Linked DNA regions of Notamacropus eugenii. The protein of the gene in region 2 purifies or fractionates together with the protein of the main gene of each other region. This does not show direct contact. Links are inferred from orthologs where the notes say so. Each region holds a gene or a part of one and is shown on either strand. Other genes may lie near its edges. The genes, in order: ARK2N, CSNK2B, ZNF687 and CCNL1.

Region 1 (7,558 bases), on a different chromosome or scaffold from region 2:
TTTCACTTAAGAATTTCACTGTACTTAGTGCTTCCAATATAAATTGCTTGAAAAACATTGCACTTAGTATTTCCAATGTCAGTTTCTTTAAAACTGTATTTCTTTCTTCTTGTTTCACTTAGATTTTGCACATCTGAACTGAAATTTCCATCTATAACATGAAAATACTACCCAGGGTAAATGACTATCTCATAGTTGCAAGTACTTCAAAGTTTTCAAAGCAATTTTATATACTCTGCCTCATCTGATCCTCATAATAATAGTGAGGTTAGCATCCTCTCAATTTTACACCTACAGATACAGGCTCAGTGGTGCTAGGTGACTTACCAATGTCCCACACCAAGAGGCAGCACCAGGTCTTAAACCTGGGTCTACTGTTCTTTGCTTTTACAACTGCATAGACACCAAAAAGATAAAGCTATACTTAAGCTTCTAAATGTGTAGAGGCAATATAGTGTTCAGGGCTGGACTTGAAGTCAGAAAGACTTGTTATCAAGTCAAACATAAGACATACTGGCTGAGTGGGGAAATCCTTAAACATTTTAGTAACAGAAAATTTTCCAAAATGGTAAATTATGGAGCTCCAGTCCCAGAATCCAACCCATTTGATTGGTGACTGAGTATGTGAAAACTACCCCACTTAACCCAATATATTTACATGCTGGCCAGAGGCACCAAACAGTGCTTCAGCTTCACATCCTATTCAGCCATCCACTCAAGTCATTTTACCATCTATAAGTCTTCGAGTTCATACCCTCACGCCATCTCCCCACCTCCCCAGAACAAAACTTATTATTATCCCTTATTAGAGTTCTCTACTAAAATCTAAGCTCCTTGAGGGAAGGTATCTCTAAAAAAAAAAAAAATTCTATTTCCAGCACTTAACGTAATGTCTAGCACCTAGTAAGCACCTAAAAAATGCTTTTTCATTCATGCATGCATGCATTTATCTGAATTCAGCTGAATCTGAACTAAAGGCAATTCCTCACTCATTAAATTACAAGTGCTGATTTTTTTAAGTTGAACATATTTATTTCTCTAATAGGACAATGTGTAAAATTTAACTACTCTGTTTTGAAACACATTAATGTGGAAAACTATATAATTTAAGTGCATTTCACTTAAAGTTTTCCTCAACTGTACAAATCATTCTGACAAAATAGGAACCTTTGGTACCATCAATGCCCATGTATGATTCCAACACTTTAGTATTCAAGTAACACTATCAACTGTAGGTCTATTAAAAATACTTGTTAAATCTCTAATAGGTTTAACAAGCCTAGATGGCTGAAATAACTCAGAGTGGTGGAATAAGCAAAATCGCCATCATATTAGCAGGTTAATAATCTCCATCTTTAAAATTATCCCTGGAGAGGGCTGATTCAAGTTTCTGTTTCGAATTATTACCTTGGCCTATGATATCACAAAATAATATAACCTGAACAAAACTGCTAGATGTGGTTGTAATTAAATGGCCAGAGTTTGATAAAAAGGTAGGAATTTTTTGTTTCTATGGAAAGATATCACGATTCATGCAGGCATGGGAAATAGGAACATACATGAATAAACTAATCTTTCTCCAACCTGCCCCTCCCTGTCTCCTCCCCCAAAAAGACCCAAAACCACCCACCCTCCCTCAAAAGAAATTTTTTTTAAATCCATGTATATCCAGGACAGAAATTAATTTCTAGAAAATAGGAGTGTAATATCTACCCAGAAATCTCAGGATGAGAGATAAAACTCCCAAAGACAAATATTAAGGTTGAGGATGTCCTCCAACTGAACTGGGGCAGGGGGAGCTGTGGGGGAAAGAAGGTAAGGCTAGTATTCAAATTGTATGGAAAAGCTTCCATTCTAGAGAACCCCTTCCGCAGCCTTACTGTGGCTGGTGGGTGGCACATAAGCACCAGGTCACTGCAAAAACCTGGCTCTGGTGGAAAGCTTGGAATGAGTTACTCCTGAGTCCACTCAGACCAAAGTGAAAAGTCCCAGTCTGGCCCCGGAGGGTCAGAGGACTGCGGCCGGGGAACTGCTGAGTCCCTGAGACTATGACCTGCCCTCCCCCTCCCCCTCCCGCAGGAGAAAGTGGGGCTTGCTCCACTGAGCTCCCGCTCCTGGGAGGAGAAAGAACTCCGGGAACCCCAATCCCCCTCAAGGAGAGTCTGGAAGGAATTCCTCCCACTTGATCTGGGGTTCCCCCACCCCCATCCCAAAAAAGTGATGGAAGAAAGACCGGAAAGAACTCGCGCCTGTTATTCTCCAGAAGCTAGCGGTGGCGGGTCCGGACCCGCGCCCCAAGATCGCCAGTGGCGGCCGCCGGTGCCGCCCGGATTCTGGCCAGACCCCCCACACACCTCCGGACTTCGTGGAGCAGAAACTCAGCCTATCACCACCTGGGTCCCCTCCAGACCCCAATTATACAAAAGGAAGGGAACACCACAATGGCCTCTGTTATCGGGAATGTACACGCCACACACACGGGCACTCACACAACACACACGCCAACACGAACACACACATACACACAACACCACATACACGCAGGTACGCACATGCAACGCTACACATAACACAAACTGCACACAACACACACACTCACACCGGAGCCCCTCCGCCTCACACTGGGGCAGGTCCCGCCGCCCCTGCCGGGCCTCTGGACCGTCAAACCCCAGGTCCGAGGCCCGCGGCCGCCCGGGCCGGCCGGCTCACCTGCGCTCCGCGGCGGCTCCTCCCGCCGTCCCCCGCCGCCTGGCTCTCCCGGCCCGGAGCCCGGACGGACTGAATGGCTGTCTGATCAAAGACCCTCTCCCGCCGCTGTGACACTTCCCCCGGCCCCAGTCGCGGCAGCTCCCGCCGCAGACTCCTCCTTCCGGACGCAGACCCCCAGCGGATCGAGGGGGCAGGGGCCGAGGTTCGACAGCACGGGCGCCACCGCTGCCGGGTCCCTTCTCTCCTCCGCGCCGCCCGGAGAAAATGTCACCAGAGGCCGTTCCGCTCCGCTCCGCGCCTCACTTCCGCCCGGAACCACCGAGGTTCCGCCAGGCAGCTAGAGTGACGACTGCACCAGGGGCTCCTGGGGGAGGGAAGGAAGAAGGAAGCAAGGGGAGGCCGTGAAAGCGTCAGAGCGCCCCCTCCAGGACTTAATGCGGTGATCCTCCCGCTGCAGAACCTGGCGCGCTGTAATCTCAGCGGCTCTAGCTAGCCCTCTCTCCCTCTTAAGTGTCCTCCACTCGAACTTGCTCTAGATTCGGAGAGGAAATTACTCCGGTCTTCCGGACTCTACAAAATTTTGTCTCCTCCGTGAAGGTTCCCCTGATTTACTCAATCAAACCGTTATCCATTCAATAACTTCAGCCAGCAAGGACACCCCGTCCCCCCAAGACTCCCCGCGTCTTCCCACACGCATGTAATTCTAATAGGAGCCAACCAGCTGAACACTAATGGCACATTTTATGAATTGTTAATTGTTACAGGATTATCTACTGGCGTAAATTGAGAAGTGTAAAAATGGTCCTTTCTCCAAAAAACAAAATTTCTAGTTCTTAAGCTGATTCCTAAAATTCTAGTATTGAGAGTCATTCTTTGATTAGAGACTTAATGCCCTTTTAAAACTCAAATTATACCCTGGGAAAAATAATATTAACACTCTAGAGAGAATAAATTTTCAGACCCTTTTTGAATATCAGATATTCTTGAGGGAAGGGGAAGGATATGGAGGTAATGGGCTCCTGAGGAGGTCGGATGGGCAATAAGAAAGGTTGTGAGCATAAACTTCAGCAGTTTCACAATTTTTCCGAGAAAACGATCTTTGCAAGTTTCTCTAATAAAGGACTGGTATCCAAAACCTGTAAGAAACTGATTGAAATATACAAGAACAAATCATTCTCCAAAACATGAATGGTCAAAGGACATAAACAGGCAATTTTCAAAGGAAGAAATCCAAGCTATCAACAACCATATGAAAAACAGTTCCAAATGATAGGTAGAGAAATGGAAACTGAAACTCAGAGGCACCTGCTCACACACACCACATTGGCAAAGATAACCAAAAAAAAGGAAGTGACAGCTGTTTGAGGGACTCCCTAAAGACAGAAACAGCAAATGTACTCTTTGACATCTATATAGCAGTAGAGCCATCCTGGGAAGCAATCTGAAACTACACTAGAAAAATCGCTGAAAGACACATATCCTTTGAAGCAAAGGTACAGTATGAGGCTTAATATCCTAAAGACATTAAAAGAAAAGGAAGATTACATGTAAGTACAAAATAGATCTTGTTTTGTTATAACAAAAACCTGGAAACAAAAGAGGAGAGTGATCATCAGTTAGGAATATGAATATAATAAAAGATTATTGCACCATGAAAAATGGCAGAAGAATGCTTTCAGAAAAACCTGGGGAGATTTGTGTGAACTGATGCAGAGTAAAGTCTACAGAACCAGGAGAACAATTTATACAATGACAAGAAGACTCATCAAAAATAATTTTGAAAAGAGTTAAGAACCCCAGTCAATGCAATGACAAAGCACAATTCCATAAGACCAATAATGAAGCTAGCCACTGCCTAAAAAGAAGTAATGGACTTAACGGTCAGAAGGATATACACATTTTGAGACATGGTCAGTGTGTGGATTTGTTTTGCTTGACTATTTTTTCCTGAGATTTCTAGTGAGTTTTTGGGGGTTCATTTTTGTTTCAGCAAAGGAGAATGGGATGGGAAGGACAGAGAAGGGCTTAGCAATCATGTTGCTAAACAGAAAAGAAAGAAAAGAGAATCACTGTATCATTTAAGAGAAAATGAATAGAATAAAACAGAAGGGAGTTCAGAAACACAATCTGGGTAGCAAGGTGCCTGGCTCATAGCAACCATTTAATAATTGCTTATTGACTGACTAACAGCTTTAAAAGTAATATATTGAATGTATTATATAATTTTAAAAGGGTAAACTGTAAGTAAGAGGCTTGTGGTCTCATATGCATTTTCTGTTTTCTGTTTTAATGTGATGTTTGTTAAATGTAAATTCTTTGAAAAAAAATTTTTTTTTAATTTCCAAAAGTTATCTCTGTATTCTTATTAAGGCAAAAAGCACAGTGTTACTAAATCTAAAGAAGAAAGGGGTTGATTAGTTTTGCTAGGGGGTTTCCTCTTCTTCATCTTTTTCTTTTATTTTTTGTCCTTTAAAAATATTGTTACATGCAATGGTTCTCTAGGAGAAAGGATACTGAGAGAAATTCTGGTAAAATGTAAAAAACATATCAACAAAAATTTATTTTAAAAGACAAGAGATGGGTCAGAAAAATATTCACAATGGTGCTGAAATCTGGGAAAGATTCATTCTACAACACTAAGGTACAAGAGGCAGTATGTGGTAGTATAAAAAACACATTAAACTGAGTAGGTTCTGAGCCTGGCTCTGCCATTAGGAAGCAAAGTTATAAATATATTTAATTTTACTATTCTTATTTAGAGATTCGTGTGGTACATCTGAACCTCAACTACCTTATCCATAAAATGAGGAAATGGATTGGAGTAGATGATGATTTTCCCAGTGACATTGGCATCTCAAAAGAAAATGTTTGTCAGTTAAAATGATAGGAGTTTATATTTACATAGAATGATAAGGTTTACAAAGCACTTTCCTTAAAATAACCGTATGAAATAAGGAGTACAAGCAATATGATCTCCATTTTATATAGAAGAAAAATTAAGGCTCAGTAAGATTTAATGACTTGCCTGTGGTTCAGAGCTCTTTGTACTGTACCCCATCTCAAACTGGACTGTACAGCACTATAGGAGTAGAGAATAAATACAAGTTTGCTAGAGACAGATACATATGCATACATACGTGTATTTGTATATCATATATGCATTTGCATATATGAAGTTAGGAAGACCTGGATTCCACTTCTGCCTCTATCATATTAGCAGTTTGGCTATGACAAATCATTTAATCTCTAAGTGCCCAGGATAGTTTTCTAAGACTATACGTTGCACCAGAGTTGTAAATCTTCACTGCATAAATGGACAGATTTACTTGTCCAGGATTAGGTTTCATATAACATATATATATATATATGGTGGAGTGCACAGAGTGCTAGGCCTGGAATCTGGAAGACTCATCTTCAAAAGTTAAAACCTGGCTTCAGATACTCACTAACTGTGTGACCCTTGGCAAGTCATATAACCTTGTTTGTCTCAGTTTTCTCATCTGTCAAATGATCTGGAAAAGAAAATGGCAAACCATTCTAGTACCTTTGCCAAGAAAACCCCAAATGGGGTCACAGACATGACTGAACAACAATACAGGTATAGATACAGACACGTGATTATATACATATACACATATGTATATAATCTGTACGTGCATGTTATAGTTTTTAATGTGTATATAGTCCATAATGTGTACAATAATATAATAAATGTATATAATATTTATAACATATGCATTATATTGTACATGTGCATATTTTTATGTATGTATTGATAATGTTTAATATAAAATTTTGGAATAATCTCTTTGTTCTCTCTGAAGTAAACTCAGAGAGTGCCTCTTCCTATGTCAGCAAAAGCCAGCCAAGGCCGACTCTACACTCCTTAAGGAGACCTTTAACCTAAGACACTATATCTTGAATAATGAGACTTTCCTTTGAATCTTATTATCTACAGACATGTACTATGTTATGGCATATTAATGGTAAAGAAAATATAGACATCTTAGGTCGTAATTTCTATTGAACATTGTTTACCCTTTCCTATGTCAATTATCTGTTTAGGGGAGGAAGCCTGCCACTTACTAGTGGTGGGGTTTCTTTCCTTATCACCGAGACATATGCTTACCCAGCCTGAAATCCCAAGGCCTGACTAACATTGCTTTGTTAATTGTCCTGTCTTACTGAATTTATGATTTGCTTAATTAGGAGAGTTTCTTTCTCATGGCAAAATGTACTTAAGACAGATGATTTCTGTACTAGGTAGTCAGAGTCACCTCTGACTCCATAGCGCTATGTAACTGTTTTCTTTATGGGGAATTGATTAATTAATTAAATCATAAAATGTATGCATTTAGCCATGTTGCCTTTTCTCTAACCAAGTTTTCAGGTCAACAGTATATATATATATATATATATATATATATATATACATATATATTCAACAAACATTTATTGGACTCAGATCATATACCCAATAATTCCAGGGAGTGAGGATAAAAATAAAAGGCATAGTCTCTGACCTCAAAGAGCTTAATATCTACTTGAAGAGACAGAGTATGTATGTTAAAAGATAATAAAAATACTAGGTAGTATGTGAGAAGTACCACTGATGATGAGGATGATGATGACAGTGATGTTGAACTTTCCATATTTTTATTCAGTTAGAGAAAAGAAGTTATATTATTCGTCTGGGCAATAGTCCACAGAACTTTAAATATGAAAGAATAATAACTGTGATAGGGCTTTGAGAACTGGCTAGTATGTTGGGATTTGTAGTTTAAAGGGACAATCATTTTACTCTCAACTCTTAGAACAATTTGAAAGCTTTTCAATATTCGAGCTAGAA
Region 2 (7,964 bases):
AGCGAAGGCCGCGGACCCGACCGCGGCAGGCGAAGCGGTGGGGGGGTAGGGGGGAGGGGAAGGGGGAAGAGAAACGGGAGGGCGGGAAAGTACACAGAGCGCAGGCGCAGGAGGTCAGGCTCCCCCCGTGGAAGACGGGATATGGAGTCCCTGAACAGTAGTAAGGCTGGGCTAATAATACGACTTCCGGAAGACACCCTTGCCCCTGTCCTCTCAGTGAAATAGGGCAGGGGGCGGGGCCACAAAGGAGGAAGGACTGGAGGCTCTCCTCTAAGATGCTGGAAACAGGAGCCCGAGATCGAGGTTAGCGCTGGTGAACATGGGAAATGTAGTCCTCGTGCCCACAGAGAGCAACACCCAGACTAGGTAAGGTTTGGAGAGTCTTTCTCCTACACATCAGCGAGCCGAACAAGATTGGGATTAAATTGGAATTGGACCGTCTTTCTCCTATACGTCTCACAGGTAAGGTATCTACAATAACGGTCTAGCTCTTCAGTTTATACTAAATGTACTGCATACTTCCCCAGTCATCTATCTGTCATCCCTCACCCTTATTTCCAGTCATCTCCCCTTTTCTCACAATCCTCATCCCCCTAACTAGCCTTCATCATCCCATTCTCCTCAATCATTTTTCATCATCCAGTACTTTAACAAACTTTTATATAAACGCCTGTTATATATTCAAAGCACTGATGGGTGTGGGATTACAAAAGACACTATGAAAAACACTACTGGAGAATACATGTATTCCAGTATTCCAAGTTGATCTGTGCAATCTCATTGATGTGGGTATTTTTCGACCCCGCAATGAGGTACATATACATAAATACAAGATAATTTGAGAGAAAACTGAAATCTAGGAGGATTAGGAAAGGCTTCCTGCAGGAGTTGGCATCTGAGTTGAACCTTCAAAGAATTCTAAGATATGAAAGTGATGGAGTACATTCCAGAGATGAGACACATTTTTCCTGTACATTTTCCTAAGTGAGGTTGGAAAGTCTTTCCCCTACATATCTCACAGGTAGAGTATGTATCATAATGCTTCTCAGTTTATTCTTAATCTTTAAAGGCACAGCACATCACAGAAGCAGGAGATGGAATGCCAAATTCAGAGAAAAGTAAATAGGTCAGTTTGCCTATAACACAAGAGTGGATGAAGGAGAGTAGTGTGAAATAAATCTGGGGAACTAAACTGGAGCTAGATTGTGACTTTAAAAGCTAAATTGAAGAATTTGTCTTTTATCTTAGAGGCAAAAGTAAGCCACAGAACTTTCTTGATTAGGGGAGTGCCTTGTTCAGATCTGTGTTTTAGCAAGATTTTTTTGCTTCTATGTTAAAGATAGATTGGAAAGGGAACACATTGGAAACAGAAAGAGCAACTTGGAGGCTATTACAATAGTCCTGGCTAGGCATGATGAGTGCTGATTGCATGGTGGGAAATGAGTTCTATTTTGGATACGCTGAGTTGGAGATCCAGGTGGAAATATCCAGCAGCCAGTCAATAGACTTTATTCATCAGTGTTTTTGTCTTTGTATCCAAATGCCTAGTACAGTGCCTGGTACACTGTAGATGCTTAACAAGTGTTTGTGGAACTAACTGATCTGGAACTTGAAATCTGGGAGAGAGATTAGGGCTAGATATGTAGATTTGAGAGATATCTGTATACAGATGATAATTGAATCTTTGGGAACTGATATAAAGAAATACTGTAAAGAAAGAAAAGAAGGGGACCCAAGACAGAGCCTCAGGGGGAACACCCATGCTTAGTGGTTTGAATACCTATGATGTTCCAGCAAGGGAGACTGAGGAATGGTCCTTCAGGCTTGAAAACCAGGAGAGTGTAGTGTGATAAAAGCTAAGTTGAGAGCAAGTATTTAGGAAGAGGGGGTGATGAACAGTTTCAAAAACTGAAAAGATGAGGAATGAGAAAAGGCCATTTGATTTATAATTTAAAGAAAATTAATAATTTATAATGAAATTATTAATAACCTTGGAGAAACCCGTTTTGGTTGTGGTAGTGGGAGAGGTATGGAGTTGGGCTGTGAAAAGGATACATGTAGGATGATAGTTTGAGGGTGTGCTAGTGAGGGTTTAGGCAAGGATGGGGAAGGCTTGAGCATGTTTGTAGATAAGAGGGAAGGAGTCAGTGGATAAGAGGAGAGAGGGGCAAGCTCTGGGAAGAGATAAGATGAAGGGGTACAAGTTGAGAGAGGACTGACAAGGAGAAGGGGTGCCTTCTTATAAGAAGAAAATGGGGGATAATTGAGAGGGTTGGTTTATAGAATAGGTAAGAACAGTTCATGAAGGATAGCTTCTATTTTCTCAGTAAAGTATGAAGGCGTTCCTTCATCCCATCTTCCTTCATCATAGTTCATCTTCCTCTCTCCCTTTATCCAACCTTCATTACCCCTATCTTTTATTTCTTCCTCCAAGTTGCCAATTAACCCTTACCATCTATCTCTATTCCCACCTCTCCACAAATCACCCCATACCAAGTTAGCCCCTGCGCCAGCTCTACCAAACAGGTCCTCATGTCCACCCTCCTCCAGAGCACTGGATGACCAGGTTTCTTTTTTGCCCCTTCTCTCCAGAGAATGGAGGTGGGGTGGTACTAGGGAGTGAAAGGGTTTAACCCCAGCCTCCGGGGTAAAGGGCTTGTCATGGGAGGGGGCCGCTAACCTGAGGTGGCACCAGCCATCCTGTTAGTTGTCCCCTTGCCCTTCTCCATCTCCTCCTCCACTCCTAGGGGCTAGGCTGGCCTGCAGCAGCACAGGGCTCTTTGTCTAGCCCTCAAATGCTGGTTGCACTAAGAGTGAGAGGCAGCCTGGCCCTAATTCGCGTTTAGACTTGGCTGCACCCTGCAGGCCTGTGCCCACCTTCCTTGGGCAGCTGACTCCACCGAAACCCCGTCTCTGGCCCCAGGAAATGGGCTTCGGGGGCCACTCTGAGAGGAACGAAGCACATTGTGGGGCGTTATGCAAACGAAGAACCCTAACGGCCGGTGCCCCTCCCTTCCCCCACGGGGGCCTTCGCGCCTCTGAGCACGCGCCTGCCTCGAGCTACCGAGCAATTCGAATCAAACCGGCGGCTAAGGAGCGGAGAAAAGGAGCAAAATAAACAGAACGCGGGCGCAGAATCCCGTGTGTGTGTATGTGTCTGTGTGTCTATCTGCCTCTTTTTAACCACCTCCGCATCGCTCCGGCCTCCAGTCCTCCATCTCGCCAGGTTATTTTACGGGTGCTGTCAAGGCGGCACGCTTCAAGTGTTCCTTTGGTTCCAGACTGAGACTGTAGTTTGACGCAGGCGCACTCTCTTCTCAGTGATCTACTTCCGGAGTGTTTTCTGCGCCGGCGCCGTGTCTCAGCCTGGCGCTGGTTGCTACTGGGACTTGAAGTCGAGTACCGAGCGTAGGGAGTTAGAGGTGGGATCCAGAGAGGAGGCCTGTAATCATTGAACTTACTTCCTGGTTGCCGGTCGCTTACAAGTCTCGGTGGGGGGCTTTGCCGCCCTTTACTGGGTTAGCTTTAGGATGACCCACTTGGCGTTCGCTCCACGCTGGCCCGGTAACTGCTCCTGAGGGCGGCTGGCTTGATGTTCCCCCACCCCAGCAGTCATGACCCGCCCCGCCCTTATCGCCTTCACCCCGGCCCGGGACTCGAGTGACCACTGGAAGGACGGGCGGCAGCAGCCGGAGTCGGAGCTCCCCCTGGACGGTGCAGCCGCCCGGAACTTCTATGAAGCCCTGGTCGGGGTGGAGGGAGACGCCCTCAGAGGGCCCCCGGCACCCTCGCGGGCGCCCCCCAAAGGCAGAAAACGGACGCAGAAAACTAGGCTGGAGAGGGCCGGGGCCGCGGCGGGAGCGGCTGCGGCCCGCGCCGAGAGCGATGGGACCCGGGAGCGACAGACCGCGCGGCTCCTGCGGGCTGCGCAGGCCGGGGACGTGCGGCAGCTGCGCGCCCTGTTGGAGCCCCGAGGCCCGGGGGCCCGCGGGGCCCATGTCAACGTCAACGCCCGGGACGCTTTCTGGTGGACCCCGCTGATGTGTGCAGCCCGGGCGGGCCAGGGACCGGCAGTGCGCTACCTCCTGGCGCGAGGAGCCGCCTGGGTGGGCGTCTGTGAGCCCGGGGGGCGCGATGCTGCCCAGCTGGCCGAAGAGGCCGGCTTCCCCGAGGTGGCCCGGATGGTCCGAGAGAGCGGTGGAGAGGAGAGGCCCCAAAGCCGGTGAGTGGCAGCCCCCTGCCACCGTCCCAGTCTAGCAGCTGACGGGGAAGGGTCCGAGTCACCAAGAAAGTTCGGTGACCTTCCCTGCGAGCCTGGAGCTTACTGGCTAAGGGCGAAAGCCATGCAAACAGCTTCATGCTGGAATTAATAAGAAAGAGATAAGGCGCTAGCATTAAGGGAGGTGGATAAAAGCCTGTAGAAAGTGAGGTTTTATCTGGGACTTGAAGCCATGAAGTGGAGAGGAGGAGGGAGAGCATTCCAGGCCTGGGGCACGGCCAGAAAGAAAGCCCATGGTCTGGAAGATTGTCTTGTGAGAGGAAGGCAAGGTGGGCATTATCACTGGATCTCGGTGTGGGGGTGAGTGCGGTGTAGGAAACCTAGAAAGGGACTCGAGGGCTCCCTTGTCCAAGGACTTTATTTACCAAATAGGATTTTAAGTTTGGAGGTGACAGCCCATGGGTCAGATCTGAGGATGCTCCTCAGCCTCTTCCCCCATCTACTGCTAACCTAGGTTCTTGGGAGGATCAGATGAGGTAATAGCTGTAAAGGATTTAGAGCACAGTGCCAGGCACATGGTCAACTTTGCAAATGTTAGCTATCGTCATCTTCACTATTACACTGTCCTACCCCACCCCATTAAGGAGTCGGTGGCCAATAATACCTAGCCTCCTTTCCACCTGGGGATCCTTGAGATTGTTCTCTATGGTAGCAAGGCCCTGGTTTCTAAGGACTGGTGAGAAAGTATACCCGAGGAGTATGGATTAATAAGGTGTGGTCACCCTTTTCAACTCCAGAGCTGAGCCAACCTTGAGCCTCCTGTCCAGTAAAGTAATACAGTCTTTGAAGACTTATTCAATGCCAGTAAAATCTAAGGCGCTGTGTATGCTGGAAGTTGAACATGCAAAACTACACAGATTCCCTGGAAGAGCTTACAGCCTACCAGGGACTGATACGATGCTCTGTCTTACTACCTCTGACTGGGGGAAGTCTGTCTGTCTGGGCCTCAGTTCCTCATTTGTTAACTAGAGAGTGGGGTTGGACTAGATAACTTCTAAATCTCCTTCCAACTTTAAGTTTATTGTAGTTCTTGCATAAGTGTTTTACTAGGTTGAGTAAAAGGCACAAAAGAGCTCCAGAGTGCTTTAGGAAAATTAGAGGAAGAAACATGAGCAGTTGTGTATCAGGCTTCATAGAAGAGGAAGCAACTGAACTGGACCTTGAAAAGACGCCCACCTTCACTCTTTTCTACCTTTTTTTTTTTCCAGGCCCTGCTCTCCATTGCCAAAATACTGTGAGACTTGTAGTTCCCATTACCGAGACACTAATCACAACAGCTCTACTGCTCACCTCCTATCCCTGTCCCATGGGCCTCAGCCACCCCCCTTGCCTCCAGGAGTCCCTGCCTCTAGCCCTGGCTTTCGATTGTTAGTGAAGGGGGGTTGGGAGCCTGGATTGGGACTGGGACCCCGGGGAGAGGGGCGCACTGCTCCCATTCCTACAATCCTCAAGAGAGACCAGGAAGGTTTGGGATATAGGCCAACTTCTCAACCCCGAGTCACACATTTTCCTGCTGGGGACCTTCGTGCTGTGGCTGAAAAAAAAAGAGCACCTCGAGCTGCCACTTTGGGCAAGAGAGAAGAGAGACATCGAGAGGAGAGGAGTCGAGCTTGGGAACGGAATCTACGGACTTACATGAACCTTGATCTCTGATCCTGACTATATAAACTATGATCTCTGATCATAGACTCTTTGGAGACCTGTGACTACCTACCCCCAAGGATCTTACTGCTGACATCTGACCCTGAACTTGGAATTTTAGTCCCTTGGGTCTTCCTAGACTTGAAATCTTGGATTTTGTTTAGTTTGATTTTAGCCTTTGCTGGAGGGAGATTGCAAAGGTTGATTCATCCTTGCTTAAAGTTGAGAAATAAACATATCTTTTTTGTTTTGTTTTGTGATGTTTTCCTGCTTTGGAGGGGAGTAGGACAGTTTTGAGAGAGGGTGGAATTTGGAACTGGGATGGGGAAGGGGCAGCAGTAAACTCATACTGAGTTATCTTCCACCGTTTTGGCTATGTGTTGTAGAGTGATAAAATTTAGAGCTAGAAAAGACTTGAGATGATCTCATTCAACCCATTCATTTTCACAGAAGGGGAAAGTGGGACCAGAGAGGCCAATGAACCTTAAGTAATTTATAAACATTTTAAGTGCCTACTGTGTTCTAAGAACTGTACTAAGTAGTTCTTTAATTGTCTACAGGGCAAAATACAAACTCTTTTGGCATTTAAGCCTTTTCCAATCTATCTTGAACCCATCATTCTTTCTAGACTGATTTCACATTACTTCTCACCCCCCTCAGCCAAAGTGAACTGTTTGATACTCCTCATGTGTAACATCTCCAGCCTCTATGCCTTTGCATAGGCAGTTCCCCATACCTGAAACATTTCAATCTCAAGTGCCAGCTCCTATGAGAGATCTTTTTTGATTTTTCTCTATCGGCACTTTTCTTCATCCTCAGACAAAATATGTTCTATCTTCTTACATATACAAATTCCCCTCAGTAGAATAGAAGTGCATTAAGGGCAAGGACTGGTTTATTTTTATCTTTGTGCTCTAAGCACCTGGCACAGCACCAACTAAGCAGGCTTAAATGCATTTGGAATTGAATTGATACCAATTTCTTTTATCTTTATGAATTTCATGTTATCAGATGCAGGACAACACTCTAGCCTGTTAAGATCTTGGATTCTGACTTCTCCAGTGTTAGGTTATTCCCAGCACTGTGTGATCTGCAAAAATGAATGTGCCGTCTATGCTTTTGTCCAAGTCATTGATACAAATGATAAACAGCACAGGGCCAAGCCAGTTATTTGAGCATTTCTGAATCTCTGATTGTGTCCATACAAGTCATCTAATCTGGAAGACGTCTTTCCATCTCTCCCTGCTTACAAGAATGCTGTGGAATATTTTATTAAATACTTTTGGTATAAGTTACTACAATTTACTTAGATTTTGAGAGGACGGTCAGAGTAGACAGGAAAGACATAACAGATGAGCTGCTGCTTGGTAGACACTGCCCTACTTGGAAGACATGATGAGAAGCAAAGGGAAGGAGATAAGTATTTTGAGTGAAAGAGAGGAGAATGGAATGCCTTCCAAGCATTAGGAAAGACCAGGAAAGTTCAAGCTAGTTTCCTGTAATTTAGACCAGGAATGGGGAACTTTGAAGTGTGGATTCAATCAAAGGGTTGTACTTGAGGATCTAGAGGGCCTCAAGATCACAAGTTTCCCACCCCTGACAGACTCTGTGACAGTAGTAATGTGAGGTAGGACTGGAAAGACAGGTTTGAGCCAGATCATGGAGAGTTTTGAATGCCAGACAAAGAAGTTTGTGCTGACAGCTGGACAGAGAGTGTAGCCCTGGTGATAATGCTTATTATAGTTCAGCTAGTTGCCTAGCAGGCTGCCCCAGGCTTTATTGGCTAGGGGTCTCAACATAGGATTCCTATATGAGCTATCACTGTATAATTCTGTGCTCTGTTAATTTAGGGTTGTTGTTTAGTTTGAAAATCTTATGTCTAAGGAACCAGTGGTGTAAAGATCATAGTTGATTCAAGTGGCTACTGCTCAACACAAACTGGGAATCCAAAAGGATAGTTTCAACCTGTATTGAAGCTCTATATCACATAAGCATAGTCAACAAAACAAATTCTCACGGGTCACATCCAAATTTACATTTCTTA
Region 3 (7,510 bases), about 220 Mb from region 2:
AGGTTGGAAAAGGAGAATAATGATGGGCAGTTTAAATATCCCTTGATAAGCAAAAGGAAGCCATGAAGTTTTATCAGAAGCGGAATGACCATCTCTAAGAAAAATGTTTCTGCCAGCAGCATGAAGAATGGATTAAAGGCCGGGGAGGGTATGGAAACGGAGTCAGGAAGATAATTAGGAGGTTATTGCAAGAGACCAGGTAATTGGTGATGAGAGCCTGTACTGGCTTGATGTCAGTGCGGGGAGCAGGGAGGCTGAGTTGAGACACAGATGACCCCCATCAGCACCTTGAAGATTCAAGCAGGGGAAAGTCCAAAAGAGCTGCTGGGGAAGGATGGAGGGGAGGGGAGGGAAGGGCTATGGAGGGATATGAAGGGATAGCAGGAGGAAGCTGAAGACAATGAAGTGAGGTAAACACAGAAAGTCAGAGAAAGAGATGGGGATGTGTGCAGGCATGTATGTATATAGCAGAAAGGGTCCTGAGGAATTCAGAGAGTTTACAGAGGGCTGAAATCAGCTGAGGTTTTAGATACAGACATGGGACCCATCCTTGAAGTGACTCCATCACTCAGCTCAGTACCCAGCAAAGAAAAACAATTAATCAATAACTGTTAAGGCTCAAGATTGGCCACAGGATCAATCAAGGTCATCTGTGGGTCAAAGGAAGCCCACAGAGATGAGAAAGGAATTGGGCCAAGTGGTCAGAGCAATAGGATGGGACACAAGAAAGGTTTAATCTCATCACAAGTTTCACTTGGTTTCAGCTTCCCCACCCTATAAAAGGCAGAGAATGATTCCAACTCCCTACAGAGCTGTTTTAAGGATAAAATCAAATAAAAATTGGATTTCAGATCAAATAAGGACATCTTAGATCTGCTAAGGATTAGGATGAGTGGGCAATGGAAATCTGAGACTGGGACCATTTGAGACCATCCATGGTTATCCCATAAATTCAAATCTGGGCCAACTGGGGTGATTCTTAACTAGAAGGGAACATAAACTGATCAATGTGGAAAATGGACTAGGGAAAACAGAAATACAGAGAGATTAGGTGAGAGATCCAGAGACAATGACAGTAGATCTTGTCACAAAAGTCCCAGCTCTGGGGCCTCTCCTCAGTCACAAACACCTGCTGCTCAGTTCCCCAGCCTTCCCTAGAGTGGCACAGACTTCCCTCAGCCAGCCCCTCCTTTCTTTTTCATATTCCTCTCTTCTCCTTTCTTCCCAGGACAAGGGACCAAGATGCATAGGAGAACTTAATGGCAACACTGCCCCAAAGAAATTAACCTAGGATTCAAGAGGGGGCTGAAGGAGAGACAGGACCCCACCCCCACCCCCCTTAGGCTGCCAAGGTAAAAAGCTTCTCAAACCATCTTGGTGGCAACTAATTCCATTCAAACCCAGCCACAGTCCCTCACTCTGTCCCAAGGCCGTAAAACAGAAGTAACCTTCAATATCTTACCCCCTTCTACCCCTATTAAAAAAAAAAAAGAGGTAAAGAATTGAAATTTGGCCAATCTCTGCAAAAACAAAGCTGACGGAGTCTCTACCTCCACAAATCCCCTCCCCTTTCTCTTTTCTCAAGATGCCTTTGGTCCTCCAGGGGCCAGTTCCCTCACCTGTCCCCAGACCCAGGATGGTAACTGGAGATGGTCTCTGCAGGTGGCAGCAGGTACTAGTGGAGGGACCTCTGGGAGCCAGTGGAGGGGGGAGGGGGTAAACCTATCCAGCTTGAGGCAAAATGGGGAATCCTCTCCCATTCTTCAGCAAAGTCCCTTACTTTAGTCTCTAACTGGAAGCTCTCCTAAGAGCTGCCTGGCTATTTCTCATAGAGGTCCTCCCAGTTCTCCTTGGGGCAGGTGGAAGAGGAGTGGCAGACTATGAAGAGTACACCCCACTTCATTCACACACCCCTCTCCGCAACTAGCGGGGGAAGGGGGGGGAATCAGGCTAGGTTCTGAAGTCGTCCCATAGCCATCCACTTCCAAAGGCAGAAGCAGCCTGGTACTCAAGGGAAAGCGCTCTCCGGCCTCCGAGTCTCCAGGTTGTTGGCCGCCCACCCCTCTGAGCTTTTCCTTCAGTTTTTGCCCAAAAGCCAAAGGGGAGGCCCAACAGGGCGAGTGCCGCTCGGGGCACATGGGGGAGGGGAGGGCAGGAGCGCTCCGCTTTCCACGGGCTCCCACGGCCTGGCACTGGGGCAGGGGCGGGAGGGGCCGCGGCCGGCGCACACGAGGCGATTAGGCTGCAGACTGGCTGGGCAGCGGGCGGAATTAAGTCCCTGCCATCTGCTGAGGCACAGGCTCGGAGGAGCGCAGCGAGGCAGAGCCGGGGAAAGGCGAAGGGGGAAACTGAGGCTGCCAGGCGGGGGAGGGGTCTGGAGGCCCCCACACAAGCGGCCAGCCTGCGGCGGCTCGCGCCCCGGGGCCCACCACTCCCTCCTCTCCTTGGCAGGAGTTTCAGGACCGCGTCTCAGGGCGCCCGTAACCGACCGTGGTCCGGGGCTCCCGGGGCCAGCTCGGACGCCCTCCCGGCTCGCCGGCTCTGGCTTCTCCCAGGGCCCCCTGGGGTGGGGTGAGGCGGGGTGGGGCGGGGCGGGGCCTCAGGACATCAGCTTCCCTGGGAGGCGCGAGCTGGGGGAGGGGGAGGGCTGACCCGCAGGCCTCAAGCCTTCGAACCCGGGCCCGGGCGCGTCTTTCGGGGCGGCCGGTCAGCGGGGGTCGGGAGGGAAGGAAAGGAAGGAGGGCTGCCGGTCCGCGACTCCTTCTCCCCCGGGGTGCAGGCACCATGTTGGGTCGTGCTCCCTCGCGGCCTCCCGGGACCCGGTCGCCGCCCTGGGCCGGAGACTAGGGGGAAGGGGCCGGCAGCGAGGTGCCTCCGGTCCCCCGGGTATTTACCTGGCTTGCCGGGAGCGCGGTTCTGCCGGGGGTTCACCCACCCCAAGCCGGACCCAGGTGGGCGGCGGCGGCGGCGGAGCAGCATCCTCACGGTACAGATTTCCACCCCCAATCCCCCCGACGCCTCCCCCCGAGAGAGGGGGGATTTACCCAAGTGGGGGAGGGGAGGGTATTTACCCGCCCCCAAGGAGGGGGCGGGGCCGGAGGCGGGTATTTACCCGGGGCGGGCTTACTTGTTCCGGTCCCGGGCCAGGCTGACACTATGCGGTCTTTACCCAGCTCCTGCAGACGCCGCTGCCGCCACCTTCCCCGCTGCCTCCGTTTCTCACCGCGGCTACTTCCTGCTTCTCCACTGTAGAGCTTTTTCCCCCTCCCTCAACCCTTTCGGCGCTCCTGGCCGGAGCCGCCTGCTTCTGCACTCGCCATTGGATGTCACGCCCGTCGCTCGCTTTCTAGCCCCGCCCATCGTCAGATACTAGTGGCTTCGGCTGACGTCGCTCTGGACGAAGTTCCCTCTCTCCTCCAATCCTCATTGGGCCGGGGCCCTCGTCACTCAGAGGACCCCTCTCGCCATTGGTCGCCGTCCTGAACGAAACGTGCCCATCCCTCTTACCTGAGCTTCTTAAAGTTCATTGGAGGAAGCTTCAGTCGCTTACCAACTGCCCGGCCTGATTCCCTCTTTCTCCACTGGAGTAGATTGCTCTCCGACGTCCCTCGGTTCTCCTAAAGCCCATTGGCCTGTCTTCATCTATGCAAATATGAAAGAGTTTTCAGTTTCTATTTGATGAAGACTTAGAGAGGGAGGGGCAGCTCCTCCTTGACTCCTAGAGAGACCCGGATAGGAAGTACCCTGTCCAAGCTAGTTTCTCATACAAACGACCTCTGCGACAGAACGCCGCGCCATGACACTATGGCGACGCTACTACGTCACCTGACGTCATGACGAGCTCTGGTGTGGGGCAGTACCAGTTTTTCTTATCAGCGTGGTGACGTCACACCAAACTACACGTGGCCTAAGGATGCTCCTACAGCCCCACTTTCCTCGCCTTTTCTTTCTTTCTGTGACGTGGTGGAGGGCGGGGGCAGGGGACACGTGGAGTCTGGCTTGACTTGGGCATCCAGTGAGTGACCTTGCCACCTACCCCTAATGGCCCCTTTGTGGCCAGTGGGCAGCTTCTTATCTTCTTCTCCTGACCACCCACCTTGAGTCTCCCTCAATTTGATGAAGTCATAAAGGCTTGACTTCCTCTCGCTGTGCTGCCCCTTAATTACTGGGGGGTATTATTACAGGGTTTGGGGTTGAATTTAACCCTAGAGACCCAAAACAACCTTTCCTTTTGGGCAAGAAGAAACTGAGAAACAGAAAAAGGAATTTGGCCATCAGAATGCCCGCTCCTCCCCATCATTGATACCATACAGTATGGTGCTTGATGTGCCTAGACCCCTCCAAGAAATGATTGGGGGGGGGCAAAGTCCTTGCCCTCAAAGGCTTATAACCCACGCAAGGTAGCATACAGCAAAGGGGCAAACCCAGAGTTTGGACAACCATGGCTGTTGAGAGTTCAGGAGAAATCTAGCCCGGATTTGCCTTGGCATGGAGGACTTTGGACGGCTGATGGCTTTAAAGTAAGACCTGGGCTGGAATTCCACCTTGGCTCTAAGTTGTCATAACTCAGGGCTAAGTCAATTAAGTTAAATATGTCTCAGTTTCCTTATATATAACTGTGGACTCTGATTCCTCTCAGAATTGTCACATGAAGTAATGTATTTATGTGAAGTGCTCTTCGGTAGGAGTTAGAAGAGGAGATGAAGGGAGAATGTCCCTTTTCAGGAAAAAGATATGTTGAAAAAACACCCAAAAGCAGGATTGTGAATGTCATGTGTAAAGGACAGAGAAGTGACCTGTTCAGCGGGAGTAAAGGGGAATCCTTGAAATGGAAGATGTAGATGGCAAAGAGGTTATGGAAGATGCTGGAAGCCAGGTTAAGACACATGATATTCATCATATAGGCAATGAGAAGCCATCTAATGCTTTTGCTGAAGGGAGCTGAAGGAGGTAGTTTGGGGCTACTTCCTGGGCATTTATGACAGCCTGTTTTTCATTCCTTGGAGTGTTTTGGAGACTTGTGCAAAGTAAGTTATAAATTCAGAAATCAATACCAGACCACAGATGAAATGCGTCACTAGTAGTTTTATCTATCCAAGGAAAGGACTGTTTATAAACGTAACAGATTGCAAATTGTAATAATTTCATCATAAAGTTGAAATTGCTGGATTCCAACCTATCTGGATATGTTCCGAGTATTATAGTAGGGGTTCTTAACTTGGGGTCTTTAAAAAAAAAAAAGTAATAACTGAATATAATAAATTTAATTTCTTGCCTTTGTAATCCTATGTGTTTTATCTCATGCGTTTAAAAATATTATTCTGAAAGAAGGTATCCATTAAGTTTCACCAGACTGCCAAAGGAGTCTGTGACACAAAGAAGGTTAAGAGCCTCTGTCTTAGGGTAAAGCCTACACTGATCTAGATTTGATTTATAAATCTAAGATGGGGAAGAGAAAGGCATTTATTGAGCATCCACAATGTGCCAGCCACTGTACCGTTGCACATTTTATAAATATCATTTGAGACACACAACCCTGTGAAGTAGGTGCTATTGTTGTCCCCATTTTACAGTTGAGGAAACTGAGGCAGGGAAAGGTTAAGTGACTTTCCCACAGGGTCACACAGTTATGAAGGTCTGAAGCCTAATTTGAAGTTAGGTCTTCCTGACGTCAGGTCAGTGGTTTTAGCCACTATGCCACTTACCTATGGATGAAAAGAATATGGATTGATGGTATGATGGAAAAAGCATTAGATTTAGAGTTAGCCAACCTGGATTTACATCCTGGCTAATCTATAATAGGATGACTTTGGAAAAATCACTTAACTATTCTGCATCTCAGTTTCCTCATCTGTAAAAAGAGAATTAGATTAAATGATTGTAAAAGTTCTTTTCCTCCTGGTCCTGTAAATTGTCTCTTTTATTCATCTCAGGTCACAGATTTAGAGCTGGAAGGTTTGTTGTTGTTTTTTTAATGAAAAAACATTTATTGAATTCCTGTTGCTACTAAGTACCAAGTGCTATGCTCAGTACTGGGGATGGATGACAACTACAGAAAGACAATCTATGGTCAAGTACACACTTGAGGGATGGTAGGGTGAGGAAAAACAACATATTATAGAGTTCAGTTGCAGGATAAATGAAAAGACTTTTAAAAGTTCTAAGTCCTAAAAGTTGTAACAATGCACCAGAGGGGCAGATTGCATGGCCTAAACAGGAGCTCCCCTAACCATCAATCTTGCATCTCTCTCTGTCCTCCATTCCCCCTGAGCTCCTGGGCCACATACTGAATGAAGTACATTCAGTACATACAGCATTGGAACAACAAAATATTCATTCAGGTCAGAAATATACAAAAAGCAGTGGAAAGCAATCGCCACCCATGTTCTCAGTAAATGGCCCATACCCCTTCCCCAAAAGTAGCCTAGAATTTTAACTCATTTAAATAATTCTAATTCCAATGGGGAAGTTTTACATAAAGTCTGTCTGTAACTGAAATAAGAGGTTGTAAAATGAAGTGAATATAACATCCACATTTCTGCTTAGAAGGCAGCTGGTCTTACTATCTCTCTGTACCTAGTATGACTCCTTGCTTTGTGGAGCTTCAGGGGTGCTCCGTGGCTACTTGTGTTCCTGAATGTCCCTCTCCTCCTCCCAAAAGCCTATCATCTCCATGATCTCATTCAAAATGATGTCTGTAATCCATCTTTGTTTTCTGGACCCAGGTATCCTGGGAAATGTAGTACTTTCATAATTACATTCAAATAGAGGTTAGGGTCTTTTAGGCCATTTTACCTGAAGCAGGTCTACTCTTAATCCCACCTTCTATTGGAAGCCTTTCTCAATCCCTCTTAATTCTAGTGCTTTCCCTCTGTTGACTATTTTCTGTTTATCCTATATATAACTTGTTTACTTGTTGTCTCTTCCATTAGACTGAGTATCTTGAGGACCAGGACTGTCTTTTGCATTACTTTGTATACCCAGTGCTTAGCACCATGCCTGATACATAGTAAGTGCTTAATTTGTTGACTGACTGAAAAAAAATGGATATCCCTAAAGCATAGATCTAAACATAATCAAAAAGCTTAACTCCTCCCTATGGCCCTAGAATAAAATATAAACTCCTCTGTTTGGCATTAAAGTTCCTTCATTATCTGGTGCTATTTCCAGACAGATTATAAATTACTCCTTCTCCCACACTCTCACCTAACTGGTCTTCTTACTTTTCCCTATGACTTGAGATTCCATAACCTGCTTCCATGACTTGAGATTCCATAATCCGCTTCTGTAATTTGAGATTCCATAGCCTACTTCTGTGACAGACACCAAAACCCCACCCTTCTGCCAATCTTCTCTTTTTCTGTTAAAGTCAACACCATTCTTTTTTTCACTCTCCCAGACTCGTACCCAGAGCATTATTCGCAACTCGTCACTCTCTTCATCTCACATATATAATCTGTTGCCAAATATTGTCATATCTTTTTTTTACTTAATAGCATTTTATTTTTTT
Region 4 (7,882 bases), on a different chromosome or scaffold from region 2:
ATTTTCAACTATTTTAATGTCACAGAGTTTGAAATTTTAAAAATTTCCTTCTCTAAAAAAAGTTTTTCATTGGTTTCATTGGATGTTGGGGGGAAAGGATTGGGGGGGAGAATAGAGAGAAATAGAATGTGTAGTTTTTTGGAAAAATACCTTATGATAGCAATATTCCAGATAATTTATTATTAATTACACTATTCATTTAGGGGAATGTCCCACATTTCTGTGTTGAACTCAGAAGAGCCCCACCACTGCCAACTTCTGGATTCAGCCAAGACTAAGGATGACAAAAGGGTAACTGATTCAGGAACTAGCTCCCAAGTCCCAGCCAAATAAAGTAGGAACCACCTCAGGATAACTACCCTTTTGTAACTTCCTTTCAAAGCAATAACAAGTTTGTCTACCAATTATCAGCATTCCATAAGAATGAAGCTTAAGATCTAAACTATTCCAAGAATATCCTTAGAGTGTACTAAATTCACCTACAAATGAAGACAGCCTGGAAAAAAAAGCTTTTCCTTAAATAAACACATAAAAAGACAACTTAGGCTGAACTGTGCAAATTCAACAAAACCTTTCGTTTCAGTCTCTGCAATTTAACGTGTAAGATCCAATTCCCATGCCTCCCTATAATTCAACCCAAACTTTTAAGAATTATTTTCTACCCCATTCCTGAGACTATCTAACCAGAACAAAATACCTGTTAAATCCCTTTGACTTCAACTTCAACCTTTATCATCCTGCAGTCCTTTCAGATCCGGTATTATGCGATATATCGTAGTTGAATGTGGAGAAGTATTCTAACAAAAGCCAACCTCAATTGATAAAGAATTAACTAGACTTCAGGGAGATAGACATAAACTACACAAAGAACTTTGCTGAAAATTAACTTACTACATTGTTTACACTTGCAAAGTTTTGTCTTCCAAACAAATGAACAGGGTGTGCTGATCATCTCAGAGCAGAATCCACACCCTTTCAATTCTTAAGCCATAACTGGCCCCCCCAAGACTACAGTCAACTGTATGTGAATCTGCCTGAACAAACCTGTTACCAATGAGTAGCTACTTTTTATTACCATTTCTCCAACTTAATCTTATGTGTTACATTGTGGTCCGTAAGTATCCATTTGAACTTTTACTACCTAAACAGCTTTTTTTAAAAATTTCCTTAGGTCCTGGGAAATGAGTATTAAAAAAAAAAAAATTAAACCTGATGGCACCGGTACACAGTACAGATGTTATTTTCAAAGAGATCAATCTTACCTTTTTCCTCTTAACTGCCGTAAATGGTGAAAAACATTTATCACATCTCTTATTCTACGAGGTGCTTCTTCAATTTTGGAAGCGAGATTGATACAAGCCATGGCAACAATCTGAAAAGAACCCATTCCCCAAAAAGATCAGACAGACAGACTAGGCTACAGGACGGAAAAAAAGTAACGCAAACCTGGCCAACTTTTCCCTTATAAGGGGCTTAAATTTCACAAAGTAAAACTGGCCTCCCATCTTTCCTGGAACAAAAGTAATAGTGCTATTTCCACCTTATACGTCAAATGTTATTTCCCAATTTTTCTACTGTTCTAAGCCTGGGGTCCAAAAGGGGGTACAGGGAAGTCTGAACTTGGATTAGCTTTCTAACTTTGTTTCTTTTGAACGCCTACAAAATTTATTTTACACCTTTAATATCTTTCTGAAAAGAGGTCCACGGACATCACTGGGGCTGACAAGCGTCGATGACAGGGAAAAGCTTAAGAATAAGAACTCTTGGTCTAAGTACAACAAGTTAGGGCGCTCCCCTAACACAATTACCCAGCCGGTGGCCCTAAACTCAGCTGGGGCCGAGGGGCATGTTGGGGAAGAAGGAAGGGTAGGTTCTCAGGACCTGGGTCCCAATTCCAGCTCTCTCTTTGCTACCTGAGTGACCTTGAACGATTCCCCGGGGCTCCCCAGCCCAACTCGGAGCTCCCCAGCCCAGTTCGGGCCCAGCTCGGGACTCCCCAGCCCAACTCGGAGCTCCCCAGCCCAGTTCGGGGCTCCCCAGCCCTGTTCGGGCCCAGCTCGGGACTCCCCAGCCCAACTCGGAGCTCCCCAGCCCAGTTCGGGCCCAGCTCGGGGCTCCCCAGCCCTGTTCGGGCCCAGCTCGGGGCTCCCCAGCCCAGCTCGGGGCTCCCCAGCCCAGTTCGGGGCTCCCCAGCCCTGTTCGGGCCCAGCTCGGGACTCCCCAGCCCAACTCGGAGCTCCCCAGCCCAGTTCGGGCCCAGCTCGGGGCTCCCCAACCCTGTTCGGGCCCAGCTCGGGGCTCCCCAGCCCAGTTCGTGCCCAGCTCGGAGCACGAGGACGGACCGGTGCTTCCTCAACCCTGGGTTCTGCGGGGAGGGCGGCCGGAGGCCTTACCTCGAAGCTGTGTTTGACGAAGGACTTGGAGTAGAAGAAGCGGTGGAAGAGCACCTGCCCCGTCGCCATCGCCACCTGCAGTCGGGAGAGAGCGGAAGCGCCGGGGTCAGCCACGAGCCCGGCCCCAGCGCCGCCGCCATCTTGTGCGGCCCGGGCCGGCCGCGCCCCTCCCCCCGACCCCTCGCCGGCCCCGGGGCCCTACCTGGGGCAGCCGAAGGAGGATGCCGGCGGCCTGGATGAGCTCGCAGCCCAGAATGCGCAAGTCCGTCTCGCTGGGCAGGTCGAGGCCGTCCTGCATGGACGGCGTGGGCGACAGCCGCTCCTCCGGGATCAGCGAGTGGTCGATGGTCAGCGACACCTCCGAGTAGAGCCTGTCGCCGATGAGGATCCCGGCCGCGGGGCCGCCGCCGGAGGCCGCCGAGGCCGGGCCGCCCGAGGCCGCCGCCGCCGCGGGGGCCGCCGAGGAGGAAGCGGCTGAGGAGGAGGCCGCGGGGGCCGAGGAGGAGGAGGCCGAGGAAGCCGAGGCCGCGGCCGGGATCGGGTGAGGCCCGGACGCCATCGTCGCAGCGAGCACCGCGCACGCCCAACGCAGCCGGAACCCGCGGCGAGAATAACCAGAGTGCTCGGCGGCCGCTCCGGCTCCTCCCGCCGCTGCCAGGTGCCGGACGCGTCACGCCCTGCAGCCGCCTCCGCCGTGACGTCACCGCGCGCCGCGAAAAGTAGTCCCTGTTCAACCGTCTCTTCCCGGCCGGAGGGCGCCGCCTCCTTGAGGTCGTCTGGCCGGGGCGGCGGGCCCCGGGAGCACGCTGGCCTGTCGGGGCGCCGGCGGGTTGCCTTGGGGTGCAGCTGTCCTCCCGACCACCCCTCAGACCCGCGTTGGAGCAGGAGGAAAACGCGGGGCTGCGTCGGAACAACGAAGAGCGCCCTCCCCTCGCGCATTTAGGCCCGGGGTCCTGAACCCCCTGGCCCCGGAGGTCTTCGGTCACGCAGCCGGGGGTCCGCTGCTCCCCCAAACCCCAGCCGATCGTTGTCACCTTGTCCCCGACTGCCCAGGGGACAGCTCAAAGCCGGCTCGGGCATCTTCCAATCCAGCGTGTTCCAAACCACTCATTCCATGCCCAGCCTCCCCTGCACCCCCAGCGCAGCCCAGTCTATGCAGCCTGCAGCCACGCAGGTGAACCTCGGCCGTGCCCCATTCTTGACCCCCACCTTTTCAGCGGACAAGTCCGGTCCACTCTGCCCGCACATCATCTCATGCTCACCCCCCTCTTTTCGTTCATAAGCTGCTTAAGAAAAGATATGATTCCCAAACCATCCTCGATGATTTTTGAAAGATGGGAGAGATGGTTATGCTCATGTCAGTGGTTTTTGAGAGATCTTACAAGGCTCAGAGGAAGACAAATGTACCTATTTCCCCAAAAAGGTCAACATTTACGGAGTTTACAAAGTCAGTGAGTTTCTAACAAAATTCTAAATTACACTAAAAGTATGGTTATTGATTAGGAAAGGAAGCACCAAAACCAAACAAAAAATCTGCATAGAAAACGGTTTGTGCTCACCTAACCTTCTTTACTCTTTCTTTGGACAGTTAACTAAATTGCATGATGTTGATACCCACTTGATAAAGTGTCTCATCGCTCTTCTGTGGGCACAATTGAATATTATAGGTTAAATGACTTCATTAAAGTGGAGTAAAAGCCAGTGGAATGATTGTACCTGGAGTAATTTGTTCTCGGTGGTTATACGTCTGTCAGTCAACTAGGAGAAATGCTTCTAGTGGAGTTCCCAGGGATCTATGCTTGGCCCTGCCCTGTGTTGCTTAATTTAGATAGAGATATATATGGCATACGTATCAAATTTGTAGATGGAACAAAGTTAGGAGGGATAGGTAATGTGTTGGATGACACAATTAGGATCCAAAAAAACCTCAACATGCTAGAACAAACATTGGTATAACTAATAAGACAAAATTTAATATGCACAAATAGGAAGCTTTACCTTGGGTTCAAAACAGTACTTTCTTAAGCACAAGATTGAAAAAGTATGGATAGAGGAGCATCTGCAAAAGGTCTTTGAATTTTTTAAGTTTAATCCTAATAAAGATTGTAATATGGCATCCAAAAAAGCAAATGTCACCTTAGGCTGCCCTAAGCGAAGTCTAGTATCCAGGCCTAGGTAAGTGAGAGTAACATATTCTCTCCTCATTATGGGAGAAATCAGGAGTGGAGGGCAATCAGGATTCCTGGTGAAGAGCCTAGATAATAATGTCATTTGGGGACTGGCTAAAGAAACTGAGTATTTGCTTGTAAAAGATTTTCAAGCTTGTCACTTAGAAGAGGGACCCTCAGATTTGTTCTTGGCCCATGTGAACAGAATTAGGAGCAATGGATGGGAGTTGCAAGGAGGTATATTTAGTTTTGATGTGAAAGGAACTTTGGGTTGCCTCAGGAGGTAATAATGGTAACAGCTGGTATTTATTTAGCTCTAGAAGCACCTTTTGTGTTGTATCTTATCTGATCCTGGCAACCACCCTTTGGGGGAGGCGCTTCTTTTATTGACGAGGAGACCTAGGCTGAAGATAAGTGAGTTGTTCTGTGTCAGGTACTAAGGAGCTCAGCCCTCTGTGCTTTATTTCAGTTTGTGGATCCCTTTCTATAGGATGCTTTAAGCAGAGGCTGGATTATGTGTTGGGGATATTGTAAACAGGAAGGCCCTGTTTAGGTACAGGTTGGACCTGGTTACCCTCAAGTCCCTATCAGCCCTGCTGTTATGGGATTACATTTGTATCCTTCCTTTGGCACTTAGGCAAATATTACTTCACATGACCACTTAACTATTTCACATTTGTACATGTAGTCTTCCAAAGTAGGCTATAAACTCCAAGGGTACAGGGTCCATTACCCAGTTATCTTATATCACCTCTGTCCAGTAAATTTCAATATCAACTTGTTACATAAACTTCATTCTTCTCTAGTTTAGCAGCATACCTGGTGTATCCAACCCTTCCTATCTTCTCTCACAGGAAATATGCTAAAGTATGATGCAGTTTCAAAAAGGCTTCTCTGGTCACTTTCCCTTCTAGGAGAGAAAACACTGCCACTACTGTTTTATTCTATTTATTTTTTCAAGTGGTAGGCAATGACTGAATGCCCCACCTATCCACATAGGTGCAGTGTGTCTAGGACAGCAAACATCACATTAAAACAGTTGTGGTGACCAGATAAGTGATGGGTGGCACAGACCACCAAGGGCAGTGAAATCTATAACTGTGTATGTTGTCTGGGTGTAGTTTCTAGAGGAGTGGCTAGGACATGAGTGGTGTATATATACGTATATATTGATTAAAGCTTATTATAGAAAGCTGACAGGTTGCATCACAGGAAAAAAATGAAGTATAGAGTTTTTAGAGCTGGGATAGACCTCAGAGTTTACTTAGTCCAAAAGACAATAATGAACATTTGTTCATTTGAACCAATTAGTGGTTCAACCAAATTATTTCCTGGGCTACTTTATACTCTGTTTAATAGTATTTGGTGTCAGTACTGGTCAGTTAAATTTGGGCTCATTCATGAACTCACAAAGGCAGTGTTTATGAGGGGGTTGCAGTAAGGAACAAGGAAGACTAGTAGCTGACTTAAGCAACTTTATTGGAGCAGTTCTAGACAAACAAACTAAATTTAGTTTTCATGGTTTATATGTAGTCTAGTGTGAGCCACTGGGCAGGATAGGAATCATTCCCTCAAGTTGGCAAGGCTTTGGAAGGAATTGGGATTTCTGGGTTAGCATAAACTTTGCCTACTTTATAACTTATCTACCTAGGTCCCGGCACTAGCTCAGACCCCCTTCAATGGAAACCTTCCACAGGTAGTAGATTCATAGAATGTGTTCTTATACCACTGCGAAGACTTGGCAATCATTCAGGTAATTTGATTAATATAGATGACCTGCAAGTTTAAACAGAAAAACTGAACTTGAATCATGATCTTATACGCAGAAATAACAAGCCTGATGTGGCTAATTTAGGGAACTGAAAGGCATCTGCCCAAGGCATTAACCTGTCAAAGTGTAGGGGCTAGCCCCCAAATCCCCAGTGTTAAAGACAGTTTTTGGATTTGTCTAGAAAGAGTCTGTTAAAGAAGACCCATGACTTCAGAGTGGGTCACAGAGGGACCATGTCACCACACAGGGATTCAAAACAAAAATCGTCCTTATTTTCAGATACTGAAATTTATCTTAATTTTGTTTTTGAGGGTTTACCTAATGTAGTAATTGTAATACAGTCCTAACGAAAGTTCCAATTGGTTTAGTTTAGGGGTCTGGATGAGATTTTTCATTACTATGTAGAGAACAATGGTAACTAAAACACCCTAACTTTGACTGATACTCTAACTAATTACTTTTACTCATACCCATTTGATAGAAAAAGTAACGATTCTGAGCTATTGGACCAGCAGGAATTCTTTGTGTTTTTCTTTTCCAGGCTAAACTTACACATGTTGCATATCACCCTACTCAGAGTAGAGCTTTGAACCCAGTCAGTCCTTCTGCATGAACAGCAATATTTAGGAATATTTAATTTATAGCATTTTAAAAACTGTATTACAAGTAAAACCCATACTTAAGCTCTCGTGAGGGAAAAAGCATCATGTAATGTCTGTCAAATAATAGATCTGATTCTAAAATATGTTCATCATGTTATATATGAAAACTATACGGTACGTATATAGTTATATCTACACAAACATGAATGTATTTTCTAACATACTTTTAAATTTTCCCAAATGTCTTATTTTTTCATAGCTTACCCTGGCTAAGTTCAGGAAAAACATGAGATAAATCAGAGAAAGTAATCTGCACTCTTTCCACACTTTAAAAATAATATTCCCTACAAGAGATATAATCCCAACAAAGGAAAATACTTTGCTTTACAAACCCAATAAAATCGACACAGGACATTTATCTTCATGTTCATCACGAAATAGCTGTCACTACATATTGTTGGCTTTGTCCAACTATGGTTATCAGGAGACTTTTCATAATAGTTTTACTATTATACCACAGAATGTTAATTTAGGGTCATCCGCCTATTGTTAAAAATCTTTCAATCAGTTCTAGGACCTACAAACCATCATGATGTTCTCTCAGGGAACTGTTCTAACAGGAATGTTGTTCACTGGGCACACACTTCAGACCTACCATACAAGGCTTTCTGATCTTTCACAGTTCGGGAATCAGTCCAGGGATATCTACGTTCCAAAGATTTCTGGATAAAACTAAGAACCGGAAAATAAAATGCTAGGCAATAAACTGTTCTGGTGTGTGTTCGCGAGGACTTGGGACTCTGTTTTTTGAAAAGCGGAATTAAGGACGTTACTCAGGATCACCTGTACCTGCCAGGTACGCAGGTACGCAGGTGTGCAGGTGTGCAGCACGGTGTCAGAACACACAAGCAGGTAAGCCAGCAGCTCTGCTAGGTACCAGGTAAGGGA

What was found.
Region 1: the proteins of CSNK2B (region 2) and ARK2N purify together in Homo sapiens (co-immunoprecipitation; 3 studies listed by BioGRID and IntAct, with this or other methods). This does not show direct contact. The link is inferred for Notamacropus eugenii from reciprocal best matches to the Homo sapiens genes CSNK2B and ARK2N.
Region 3: the proteins of CSNK2B (region 2) and ZNF687 purify together in Homo sapiens (co-immunoprecipitation; 3 studies listed by BioGRID and IntAct, with this or other methods). This does not show direct contact. The link is inferred for Notamacropus eugenii from reciprocal best matches to the Homo sapiens genes CSNK2B and ZNF687.
Region 4: the proteins of CSNK2B (region 2) and CCNL1 purify together in Homo sapiens (co-immunoprecipitation; 3 studies listed by BioGRID and IntAct, with this or other methods). This does not show direct contact. The link is inferred for Notamacropus eugenii from reciprocal best matches to the Homo sapiens genes CSNK2B and CCNL1.

The regions. Positions count from the first base shown.
Region 1 is NC_092875.1:327,641,049-327,648,606, forward strand, and holds the start of ARK2N (protein ARK2N), read right to left. Parts: upstream 3,004-7,558; 5' UTR 2,710-3,003; intron 1-2,709. UniProt on the Homo sapiens protein: AMPK substrate important for exercise capacity and skeletal muscle function.
Region 2 is NC_092873.1:85,319,436-85,327,399, reverse strand, and holds the start of CSNK2B (casein kinase II subunit beta), read right to left. Parts: upstream 3,007-7,964; 5' UTR 2,966-3,006; coding exon 2,878-2,965; intron 2,840-2,877; exon of another isoform or gene 2,730-2,839; coding exon of another isoform or gene 2,681-2,729; intron 249-2,680; exon of another isoform or gene 1-248. Other genes in the region: GPANK1 (G patch domain and ankyrin repeat-containing protein 1), read left to right, coding at 3,615-4,222, 5,488-5,932. UniProt on the Homo sapiens protein: Regulatory subunit of casein kinase II/CK2.
Region 3 is NC_092873.1:305,102,862-305,110,371, reverse strand, and holds the start of ZNF687 (zinc finger protein 687), read right to left. Parts: upstream 3,012-7,510; 5' UTR 2,980-3,011; coding exon 2,895-2,979; exon of another isoform or gene 2,875-2,894; intron 2,397-2,874; exon of another isoform or gene 1,620-2,396; intron 1-1,619. UniProt on the Homo sapiens protein: May be involved in transcriptional regulation.
Region 4 is NC_092877.1:368,068,174-368,076,055, reverse strand, and holds the start of CCNL1 (cyclin-L1), read right to left. Parts: upstream 3,013-7,882; 5' UTR 2,953-3,012; coding exon 2,596-2,952; intron 2,469-2,595; coding exon 2,394-2,468; intron 1,373-2,393; coding exon 1,263-1,372; intron 1-1,262. UniProt on the Homo sapiens protein: Involved in pre-mRNA splicing. Functions in association with cyclin-dependent kinases (CDKs). Inhibited by the CDK-specific inhibitor CDKN1A/p21. May play a role in the regulation of RNA polymerase II (pol II).